Linked DNA regions of Sus scrofa. The protein of the gene in region 3 purifies or fractionates together with the protein of the main gene of each other region. This does not show direct contact. Links are inferred from orthologs where the notes say so. Each region holds a gene or a part of one and is shown on either strand. Other genes may lie near its edges.

Evidence for each region. The genes of interacting proteins can lie anywhere in the genome.
Region 1: the proteins of PPP1R10 (region 3) and TOX4 purify together in Homo sapiens (affinity purification with mass spectrometry; 3 studies listed by BioGRID and IntAct, counting the BioPlex papers as one, with this or other methods). This does not show direct contact. The link is inferred for Sus scrofa from reciprocal best matches to the Homo sapiens genes PPP1R10 and TOX4.
Region 2: the proteins of PPP1R10 (region 3) and PPP1CC purify together in Homo sapiens (affinity purification with mass spectrometry; 8 studies listed by BioGRID and IntAct, counting the BioPlex papers as one, with this or other methods). This does not show direct contact. The link is inferred for Sus scrofa from reciprocal best matches to the Homo sapiens genes PPP1R10 and PPP1CC.

Annotation. Positions count from the first base shown.
Region 1 is NC_010449.5:77,685,453-77,688,952, forward strand, and holds part of TOX4 (TOX high mobility group box family member 4), read right to left. Parts: intron 2,874-3,500; coding exon 2,613-2,873; intron 2,273-2,612; coding exon 2,042-2,272; intron 1-2,041. UniProt on the Homo sapiens protein: Transcription factor that modulates cell fate reprogramming from the somatic state to the pluripotent and neuronal fate. In liver, controls the expression of hormone-regulated gluconeogenic genes such as G6PC1 and PCK1.
Region 2 is NC_010456.5:32,077,768-32,081,267, forward strand, and holds part of PPP1CC (serine/threonine-protein phosphatase PP1-gamma catalytic subunit), read right to left. Parts: intron 2,220-3,500; coding exon 2,088-2,219; intron 1,202-2,087; coding exon 971-1,201; intron 1-970. UniProt on the Homo sapiens protein: Protein phosphatase that associates with over 200 regulatory proteins to form highly specific holoenzymes which dephosphorylate hundreds of biological targets.
Region 3 is NC_010449.5:23,155,951-23,160,249, forward strand, and holds the start of PPP1R10 (serine/threonine-protein phosphatase 1 regulatory subunit 10), read right to left. Parts: upstream 2,801-4,299; coding exon 2,694-2,800; intron 2,031-2,693; coding exon 1,944-2,030; intron 1,789-1,943; coding exon 1,653-1,788; intron 1,205-1,652; coding exon 1,153-1,204; intron 1-1,152.

The sequences.
Region 1 (3,500 bases), about 55 Mb from region 3:
AACTGACACAAAGATGTTGGGGGCATCAGTTTTTATTCTCTTGGAACATTATTTTAAGTCTGCCATAGTGTAAAGAAGTCAGTCTAGCCTACTGGAGGATGACAGAGAACCAAGGCATTTTTGACAATAGGTAGCACCAACTGCCAGATGTGGGAGCTAGGTCATCTTGACCAGCTATCAAATATTAGCTACCATTTGAGTACAACTGTAGATATGAGGCAAAAACACCAAGAAAACCACCCAACCAATTTGTAGAATCGTAAGAAATAATAAATTGCTACTGTCTTAAGCCATTAAATTTACTTGAGAAGTAGGTAACTGATATAAATTTTGTAGAATAAATTTATTGTAGAATAAATTCAGGTTTTTTTTGTTTTGTTTTTTTTTTCTTTTTTTGGTGCCTTGCCCCACATGGAGTTTGCAGGCCAGGGATCAGATCTGAGCTGCCCTTATGACCTATGCCGCAGCTGCAGATATGCCAGATCCTTTAACCCACTGTGCCAGGCCAGGGATCAAACCTGCATCCTGGGGCTGCAGAGATGCAGATCCCAGTGAGCCACAGTGGGAACTTCCAGTTTTTTGTTTTAATGATTAACAACTCACTGTGACATAAGACCTGGGGAGTTTTAGGGTAATGATAATTAAAACCATTCAATTTCAATTATATCTTACATAGTATCATAATTTTCATTCGTTTAATCCAGATTACATTTAGGGAAATTAATGATTTTTTTTTTTTTTTTTTTTTTTTTTTTTTTTTGCTATTTCTTGGGCCGCTCCCACGGTATATGGAGGTTCCCAAACTAGGGGTCCAATCGGAGCTATAGCCACTGGCCTATGCCAGAGCCACAGCAACTCGGGATCCGAGCTGCGTCTGCAACCTACACCACAGCTCACGGTAACGCCGGATCGTTAACCCACTGAGCAAGGGCAGGGATCGAACCTGCAACCTCATGGTTCCTAGTTGGATTCGTTAACCACTGCGCCACGACAGGAACTCCAAATGATATTTTTCAAGTTTATATGATGCCAATCAAAAAAATGTAAATCCAAACTTGGTTGTAGATTTTATTTTTTAATACCTTTTTTTCTTGACTGCTTGTAGTTTATGGAATTCCCAGGCCCATAAGATCTGAGCTACAGCTGTGATAAACACTGCGACTATAACACCAGGTCCTTAACCAACTGTGTCCAGCTGGGGATCAAACCTGCAACCTGGTGCTGCAGAGATGCCACAGCCCCCATTAAGCCACAGTGGGAACTCCAGTTGTAGATTTTATTTTTTTTGGCTGCCCCTGCAGCATGTGGAATTTCCTAGGATGGGATGGAACCCTCACCACATTAGTGACAAGGCTGGGTCCTTAACCCACTGTGCTACCAGGGAACTCCTGGTTATGGATTTTATAGTTAACTATAGCATGCAACCTACCGAAGCATAGCCTAATTTTACAGATGGAAAAGAAAGGGCTTAGAAAAGTTGGATTTAAAACAAAAAAAAAAAATACAGTGGGAAAAAAAAAATAAAATAAAATGGACTGCAGAAAAAAAAAAGTTGGATTTAGTGTTTTTATAATAACTAATTATCATACTAAATTATTTTACTAATTAATAATTTTTAGATGGGTATTCTGGATTCCATGTATGGCTACAACTTTTAAGACAAAGAATGATCTTGAATGCCATTAACAAAGAGTTTATATCAAATAAGAATTTGTAAAAAAGTTAAAACTTTTGCTTTTTTGGGCCACACCCGAGGCATATGGAGATTCCCAGGATAAAGGTCAAATTGAAGCTGTAGCTGCCAGCCTACGCCACAGCCACAGCAATGCAGGATCCGAGCCTCGTCTGTGACCTACACCACAGCTCACAGCAACACCGGATCCTTAACCCACTGAGTGAGGCCAGGGATTGAACCCGAAATCTCATGGTTCCTAGTCGGATTCGATTCCACTGTGCCACAATGGGAACTCTAAAAACTTAGTTTTTATCCCCTTGCTTCTTAGAGTATTCACTATCCCCTAGTTCTTCATTATTTGCTCACCTGCTTTTGCTCCTCTCCAAGACTGTCCCACATGGAGGCCACAATTTTTGAAACCTCCCCAAAAGTGGCATTGGGATTCTGTCCCTTGATGGCAGCTTGTGTGTCACGAAAGAACAAAGCATATGCTGAAACTGGTTTTTGAGGTTCATTAGGATCTTTCTTTTTTCTCTTCTTTGGAGCCTTCTGCTTTTTCCCTGCTTCCACCACAACTGTCTTCTGGCTGGGAAGTTGCTGTAGGGGAAAAAGAAAATTACAAGAAGAAGGGAAGTATTGTGTCTGCAGAACTTAAGAAATGGACTTTTAAATGGGGTAAATTAGTCACATGAATAGAATTTTCAGAAATGCTAAAAATAGAAGGAGTAAGATTAAGATATTAGTAAAGTATGTGAGGACCAGTAAGAATGGGGATTGGAAGGAGAAATGTAAATTATAAGTTGAGAGGTGGGACCCTAAACCCAGAAAAGATCAAAGGAGATGGCAGGACAGGAGTAAAGAATACTCAGTAGAATCTGTGGGGCAAGAGTTTCCCAGAATAACATGGCAGATTTGATTTTGGCAGGGAATGCCTCACCCTCCGGAATTCCTCAACACCATCCTCATGAAGTGAACTAGTAGGTGAAGGGGTGGTTGAAAGACGATCCTCAGGTGACTGGGCAGGTGGCAGGATGGTGCCACCCCCTAAGCTCAAACCAAGTTGAGAACTCAGTTCTGACTGATCAATGGTGGTCAACTGGCTATGCCCCATCAAGCCAGATGTCATGTCTGTCATTGGTACATCAATTGTAACAGGTGGGTTGGCGCTATACTGAGTTCCTATAGAATGATCCAAGTCCTGAGAGAAGCAGAAGGACTAATTATAAACACTAAATATAAAAGACACCACTCTCCCCCCCCCACCCAAATTCAGGACAGTTCATAAACTCTCTGCTTACCCAAGATGTATCACCGTTTAAACATCAAATAATTTATATACATATAAGACATACTAAGCTTTTTAATAAAATACAGAAATTACTAAAGTCACTTCTTTGTACACAAAGGGCTGTATCAAAATAACCAAAAGTAACCAAAGCAGTCTTAATTTTGGAAATGTTAATTTAAAGAGCAAGTAAATTACTCAGTAATTTGGGGATAGTGATGATACTCAGGGTAAAGAAAAATTCCCCCCCTGTACCTTCCTAAAACAGTGGCTGTTAAAAAGTTGCAATACACAAGCAATCAGAGTAAATAAGGCCAATGTTAGAGATGTTTGACATCGAGCAGAGTGTGTGATGTACCACTGATGGAATGTGCTAGAAGACAGTTTTTGTTTTGGGAGCCTGTGGCATGTGGAAAGTCCCAGCCCAGGGATCAAATCTGTGCCACAGCAGCAACCCGAGCCACTGCAGTGACAATGCTGGATCCTTAACCCTCTGCGCCACAAGGGACCTCCCAAACATATTTGAATCCATCCCTTAAC
Region 2 (3,500 bases), on a different chromosome or scaffold from region 3:
AATTATACTTGCCTGATGAGAGAGGGGAAAGCTGGAGTACAAGGTCATTATATCAGTCTTGAGGACAAGAGCCAAAATTGACACCAATCAATGCTGACCTTCTGCATCATTAAGGCCTCTACATTAAACAGAAACCAAAAATGATGTAGCCAATACCCTCACACTAGGATCTATGTCACAACAAAGAGATCACTGGGTCTGAATAACTTTGATGAAAACATGAAAGTTTTCACTAACAGCTGTGTAAAAGGAACCACTTCTTAACCTGTTCTGAAAAGCAGCACTATACAAGTGTCCAAAACACAATATTATAAAACTTTTCTGCCTCTCATTTCACTACCTAAAGAGTAGTAACTAACTGCCTTAAGAATACTTCTCTGATAGACTCACTGTCAATATCAAATCTCTCTTTCCTAACTTAGTTGCTGAATTCTGTCAGAACCCACAGATTTCTTCTCCTTGGTAATTCCTCCCACTTCATTTTATAAGCTGGGTCTTGGGGCCAGAGATCAAACAAATATACAACCATGGTTGGGAGCAAGAGGGCTAAGTCTATGAATGTAACCTTTCCAGCAGTGTACTTCTAACAAACAAGCTAGCTGAATACATCTACGTGAAACTGAGATGGAAAAACATCACACCCTGAGCGACTATAGGTTATGATCACATAGTCTAGGGGAGGCCACAGTGACAGTGCTTTACTGGTCTTGTTATAATTATATTGGCAAGTGCCAGTAATCAAATTCCTTAACTACTCCTCTCTTTGCAGCCTAAACCTTCTTCTGCCGAAAATAATGAATACAAAAAGGTAGAGGTAAGGATTAAAAAAAAAAAAAAAAATTAAGCATTTTATATAGTTATTTAACCAGCAGCAGCACCAAAAAATCCTCCACCAGAGGAGGAGGATGTTCAGTTTATGCCCAAGTATCTCAATTTAAGTAACTTTTTCTTAGATACAGAAAGTACTTACATTCATCATAAAATCCATAAATTCTATTGATGCTGGCACATTCGTGGTTTCCTCTGAGAAGAAAAAAATTCTCGGGATATTTGATTTTGTAAGCCAATAAAAGGCAGATAGTTTCCAATGACTGTTTTCCCCTGTCCACATAGTCCCCAAGAAACAGGTAATTGCTTTCTGGCGGGAAACCACCGTATTCAAAAAGTCGAAGCAAATCATAGTATTGCCCATGGATATCACCTAGAAGGAAGAATTTTTGTTATAGTATCTTCATACATATAGTTCAAACCACTAAACTAATTAATTTCCAATCTTCTATACTATTTAGTTCAATTGAGCTTAATTAAAATTTTAAGTGTATGTATATATACCGAATCTCACACAGAACTAATTAAGAATTTATTTTGTGGAAAGAATTATTAATGCCTAGGGAGACCTTCTTGCCAAGTAACATGGTTTTCCTTTCAGGTTGGCTGATCATTATCAGATCTCCAACGGTTCAGTCTCCCAGCATTGTAACAGCAGCACAGCTGCATTTCTTGAGAGCCCTGGTCCTGTGTAAACAAAGTACACACCCACTACACCTACCAATGCATTTGGCTTTCAACTTCTCCCTGGAGATAATGGCAAAGAGCATTGTACTTTAAAAAAATCTGCATACAAACTTTATTAATGTAGTCAAACATGCTAAAAGAATAACTATAGCACTTTTCAGATAGAGCTTAGTTTTTATACAGATTATCCACATCTTTCATGTAGAAACAGAACTACAAAAAGGCATCAAGGAAGGTCTATTTTTAGGCATAACCAGAGTTTCTTTAAGCTTAAATATAATTCCTATACACTCATATAGTTAGGGCCTCTTCTTAACTCTCCATTCTGTTTCATTTCTTTCCTTTCTCCTGAAATGTTTACATTCCTTGAGTGAAATAATTTTCAGAAAATCTGAAACCCATCTAAGATCAGAGGTATTTATTCTAAAGCTACAATTACTTAATTTTAGGTAGTTCCAGATTATTCATATATGCTAAATGATTCTGTTCGCTAATACAAGGTCATACATATATCACTGACTCAGTCGGTCAATCACGTAATCAAAGGTAACTGTTAGTGTGCCAAAACTTACCACATATTTTGAGTGGTGCTTCAAGTTCGAGTAGGATAGGCTGACTGAGAAAGATCTCTCGGGACTTTAAGCACAGTCCTCTGATTTCATTCTCTTGTAGCTGGACATTCTTACCAGGTTTGGACCCTCTCACTGTAGGGGAGAAATCTCAGTTTAGTCAAGTGAAGTAAAAATAAGATTTAACATAAAAATTAAAAATATCTGCAAAGATACATTTTAAAGACAGAGGCGGGAGTTCCAGTCATGGCACAGCGGAAACAAATCCGACTAGGAACCGTGAGGTTGTCGGTTTGATCCCTGGCCTTACTCAGTGGGTTGGGGATCCAGTGTTGCTGTGAGCTGTGGTGTAGGTTGCGGACTTGGCTCAGATCTGGTGTTGCTGTGGCTGTGGTGGAGGCTGGCAGATGCAGCTCCAATTGGACCCCTAGCCTGGAAACCTCCATATGCCGTGGGTGTGGCCCTAAAAAAGACCAAAAACAAGCAAACAAACAAAAAGAGGCAAAAAACAGTTTAACTAGCTTTCTGGCTGGGCTTTATTTATTTTCAGTATACTTAAAAAGAATATGATTTTAATGTCTAATAGGAACTTAAAATCTTCGGATTTCAAGAGATTATTTAGCTGCATTTTCTATACCAAGATTTCTTTACAGTATCATGATCAAGGGGTCATCTTCTCAGTGTATAAATTGTTAGAAAGGTCTTTTTATTGCCTACTAAAATCGGACTCCTTGTGGGCATGGCTTGAGGTCTCAGTTCTGTCTCTAAGCCACACAAATCGGCCATGTTCACCTATAGCCCCTGCCCACCAGGCCAGCTTTTTTTTTTTGTTTTGTTTTTTGAAAGTTCTCTGTTTGTTTTTTTTTTTGTCTTTTTGCCTTTTCTAGGGCCGCTCCTGTGGCATGTGGAGGTTCCCAGGCTAGGGGTTGAATCGGAGCTGTAGCCACTGGCCTACGCCAGAGCCACAGCAACATGGGAACCAAGCCGCGTCTGCAACCTACACCACACGCAGCTCATGGCAAGGCCGGATAGTTAACCCACTGAGCAAGGCCAGGGATCGAATCCACAACTTCATGGTTCCTAGTCGGATTCGTTAACCACTGCGCCACGCCGGGAACTCCGAGGCCAGCTTTTTTTTTGCCTTCCATCTTGTCTTCTCTTCTCCAGCCTCATAAATGAATTTGCATTCATACAGAAGATTTTAAGTGATATCAGGTTACTAGGTTAGTTCTAAGAATTCCTTGTTTTAACACCTAAGATAGGAAATGCTCAGAATCTCCCCTCCCCATCAGTGTTTTTCAGAGGGCCACAGGGATCTCAAGGGCCCCAGATTTATCTACGAAAAAATTTAAGTGTTGTTTCCATTTCATTAACACACACTGTACATTTGTGCGTTATTTTTCTGTGCAATTTCTG
Region 3 (4,299 bases):
ATGCCGCGGGGAGCGGCCCAAGAAATAGCAAAAAGACAAAAAATAAATAAATAAATAAATAAAACTTGTTTAAAAAAAAGAAAGAAAAAAAATCCCCAAACTGAGCATTCCTACTACCAAAGGAAAGGAAAGCTAAGGAATGTTTTTCACTTAATCCTGTGAGTTGAAACAAAATCAGGACTCTTTCATCTTAGAATACATTTCCTGTGTTTTCTCCTCTAGCTCAAGGAGCTACACATAGGCTTGCCCAGGCCTAGGTGCTCCCTCCACACAAAACGGCCAAAGGCTTTTTTCCACAGGGACCTAGGACACTACTCCCAGAGATGAAGAGCAAGCCTGTATTTGGCTGCTCGGGGACCAGCTCTGCTACAATACTGCTCTCTCGCAGGAAACTAGTGTCTTGTGCTCCTGGTTTATACCTTGGGCATAAAATCTTTGGGTTATTTCTTTTGTTCTCTAAAGAAGAGCCTGTGACTTTCTGGACCCAGGCTTTGTCTTCAAGCCAGAACAATATGGCCCTCATCAGGAGCTCCCAAAACCCTCTGTCTTAGAAAAGGAAAGAATCGAGCCAAAAAAAAAAAAGTTTCCATTGTGGCACAGCAAAAACGAATCCGACTAGGAACATGAGGTTTCAGGTTTGATCCCTGGCCTTGCTCAGTGGGTTAAGGAACCGGCGTTGCTGTTGAGTTGTGGTGTAGGTCGAAGACAAGGCTTGGATCCTGCGTTGCTGTGGCTGTGGCGTAGACTGGCGGCTACAGCTCCGACTAGACCCCTAGCCTGACAACCTCCTTATGCCATAAGTACGGCCCTGAAAAGACAAAAAAAGCCAATAAAAAGAAAAAGAAAAAAAGGAAAGAATTGGTTGCTATCAAAGCTACGATACAGTCCAGGAGTCGGGATTCTGCCCGTGCTCTATAGCAGAACGAGCATTATCTGTTGTTAGGAAAATAGAAATTGAGGGTCCTAGAATATGCTATATTTATTTAGAAAAACAGAAGTAAATGATGACAAGACATTCTAGGATGACACTATTTCTCCTGAAGAATTTTAAGTGTGTGCCTTTTACATCAAAAGATTTTTAGAAACAAAGGTGACTGAGCAGAAGTAGCAGAGGAAGGCCCAGGACAGAGAGGAGGGACTGGTGGCCCTTACCTTCATCCTCACTTGACTTGCTCAGCTGCTTCACCAGCTTGGCCGTGTTGTTCTAGGGGAGACAGGGAACAGCAGGAAGCTCAGCGCCAGGCGTAAACGCAGCCCCCTCAGAGCTAACAACCCACAGACTCTCGAGCTCTTGAACGGTGACTAACACTGAGACAGCACTTTACCTCTAACAAAGCCTTTGGAAACATGGTCTTAACTGCTTAAGGCCACCCAGATAGGTTCAATTATGCCCATCTTACAGATGAGAAAAATCAAGGCTTTGATTTAGGAAGTGCCCCATATTACACACCTATTAAAGGTGATAAGCTCAAACCAAATATTCTGATTTAAAATTCCTACTTTTTTCTTTTTCAGGCCACACCTGTGGCATTTTTTCCCCACCATTCTACCCCACAGGCCCAAGAGTGTAACCACACCAGGGTCTCTGTCAGTTTTCCGTCTGCTACGCTAAACCAAAAGGGAAGAACCATGACTGGGAAGACTGAGGGTACCTGCTTGAGATGGTCAACAGTGAGCGGTAGGTGCTGCAAGGTGAGCAGGATTTGCTGCAAGAGGGGAATGTTGTTGGTTGTCTTCGAGTATGTCAGCCAATTGTTGAGAAGCTTGTAACCACCAACATCGATAAACCTGCAGGCAGGGAGGAGAATCTGTAATGCCCTTCGGGGTCCTGGGAGTTCACCCCACACAATGAGTCCCCCATCAATGACCCAGGAACCCTGTGCCTCACCTCCCCTGCCTTCTAACTACATCTTCCCATCCCAGCCGCCCAGGTCCCCACTTACTTGACCAGTATTTCTGGTGAACGAGTCTGCAGGAGAATGTTCAAGTAAGTGCATCGACTCACCATCTTTCGTGCTTCCTTCATCAGACTGTAAGAGATGAGTTAAGGTCAGAAGTGCAGCAGTCAGAGTAGAAGGCTGTCTACTCTGCGGGAGCACCTAGAGACCCTGATGCCTTGGGACTTTGCTGCAGAGCTGGGGGAGGTCACAGAGGCCACTAGAAGGAAGGGGTGGGTCAGGAGCCATGTGGAAACCCACCCAAGGATGGAAAACAACTGAGGGGACATACTGAAGTCTCCGATCTGGGGAAGTGAGCATCACTGCATCCCTCGCACACAGGACACATTGGATTCTGCTTCGGGGGAATACTTCTAGCCTTCAACTACAATCTAACTCTTCAAATGTGATTGGGATTGGCTCAGTCTCTTGCTTTCTCCAGAAAAACTTGAGGATCTCTGAAGGAAAATGACGTTCTGGGAATACAGAACGTGACCCAAAACAGAACCAAGAATTCGGGCACCTGGCTCCTGTTTCCTTCCTTCCGCTGGGACTTTGGCTCTCCAAATACCCAGATTCCATAAGGCCAGGGACCAAGGAATCAGCTTTCTCTGTCGCTAGTCCTAACGTAACTGGATTTGAATCTCAGTCCACTGACTCTTTCCTCTCAAGGAACACTCACTGCTGTCTGCTGTAACTACCACCACCACATGGAGTATCTTCTGCTCACGACAAATTCAAAGGGTACAGACTCACCTGAAAATCTTTGAAATCCCATCCACACTCTTGACTTCCCCATCTCGGTTAAGGAAGCTATCCAGGCCCTTGAGAAGCTCTTTGGGGTCTATGGGACCTGAACCCATGTTGGAGGTTTCTAAGATGAGAGAATAAAACAAATCCCAGAATAAATGGGTGGCAAGGACAGTGCCAGTTGTCCACTAATAAGTTATTCCATCTCTACATTTGACAATTAACAGTGGCTAATTATCCAAGCTATATTCAAATGTACACACCATTTTCCACCTAAGAAAAATCCACACAATTGTTACTACCGAGAAAACAGTCCTGGCAGGCAGAGCACAGGGTTGGTTAACACACGACTGAAGGGAAGACAGGCTGGAGGCCTGAGGTAGCCTTTACCTCTCCTCTAGCTCCCAGGCACAGCCTTCCAGGACAGTTCAACCTCACCACACTGTATGCACATCCCCCAAACAAACACTCAACTCTCCAAGGCACTTTTGCTTATTAGGTCCTGTTTCTCCTTAGCTGCTGATAAATCTGGTTTTGTTTTTTTTTTTAAAGCAAATATACAGCTTGGTAAGTACTGGACCATTTGTGGGTACTTGAGCTAAGTGCCTTCTAAGAGTCAATTCCTTTCCATCTTAGTCCATAAAGAGTCCATCTCCACATGTGGCAAGATATGTTCTGCTTGAACCAGGAGATAATCAGCTAAAGCTGTAGATGGAAGAGAAGAAAATGACACTTGAAAACCGAACCTCTCTCCACATAAGTTTGGGGTAGCTCCCCAAAATAGACAAATGGATGTAAAGGATATTAAGTAGGTCCTCCTAAGCCTTGAACAGAATGTCACTCATTAGCCAAACACTGCACACGTTTTTATTGTTTCAGAGTTAACGGCAAGAATGCACTGTGGTTTCAAAAGCAAAGATGCGACTCTGACCCCCATTCCCCACCTAAATCACACCACCATCCAAGATTCCCCAAGGAATGCTTGAAATTAGAAACTATGGGGCCAAAAAGAATGGAACAAATCAAACGAGAAGCTGGGAAAATGCCATTAAATGTTAAGTAGCTACTCTAGACCAGGTTAGAAAAGGAATTAATTAAAAGCTAAACACAGCTGTTATGAGACAGAGACATGTAAAGCAATTCCTAAGGCCAGAACCCAAGCTCAAGAGAGGTCACTCAGAATCAATATGGTTCTGATTAGGATTGTTATCCACAATACCCCTAAACACTGGCTTCTGAGCAGAAAAGAAAGCCACTTCAGTAATATCGACACTTGGGAGATAAGAGGAACGCTCTGGGAGAAGGTGGCAAGGAGCAAACAGCTTCCCGCATCTAGTACAGAGACAACAGATGGGAGCCCAGCAGAAGGGTGGGGAAAATCAGTGTTTTACCAAGACGACTATATTTCCTGCAGAAAAGAAAACAGGCTTCTTATAAGATCATGTTAATTTGTTCTATTTGTTCTCAAACCAGAAGAGAAAAACAAGCATAACAATCTCATCCTTTTAATCCCAACGAAAAGGTTAATAAATGTTTACATTGACAGGTCCTAACAACCTAGGTGAGAAGAAGCAGAGGCAGTGGAGGAACTTGGTTCCTGAGACTATAACCT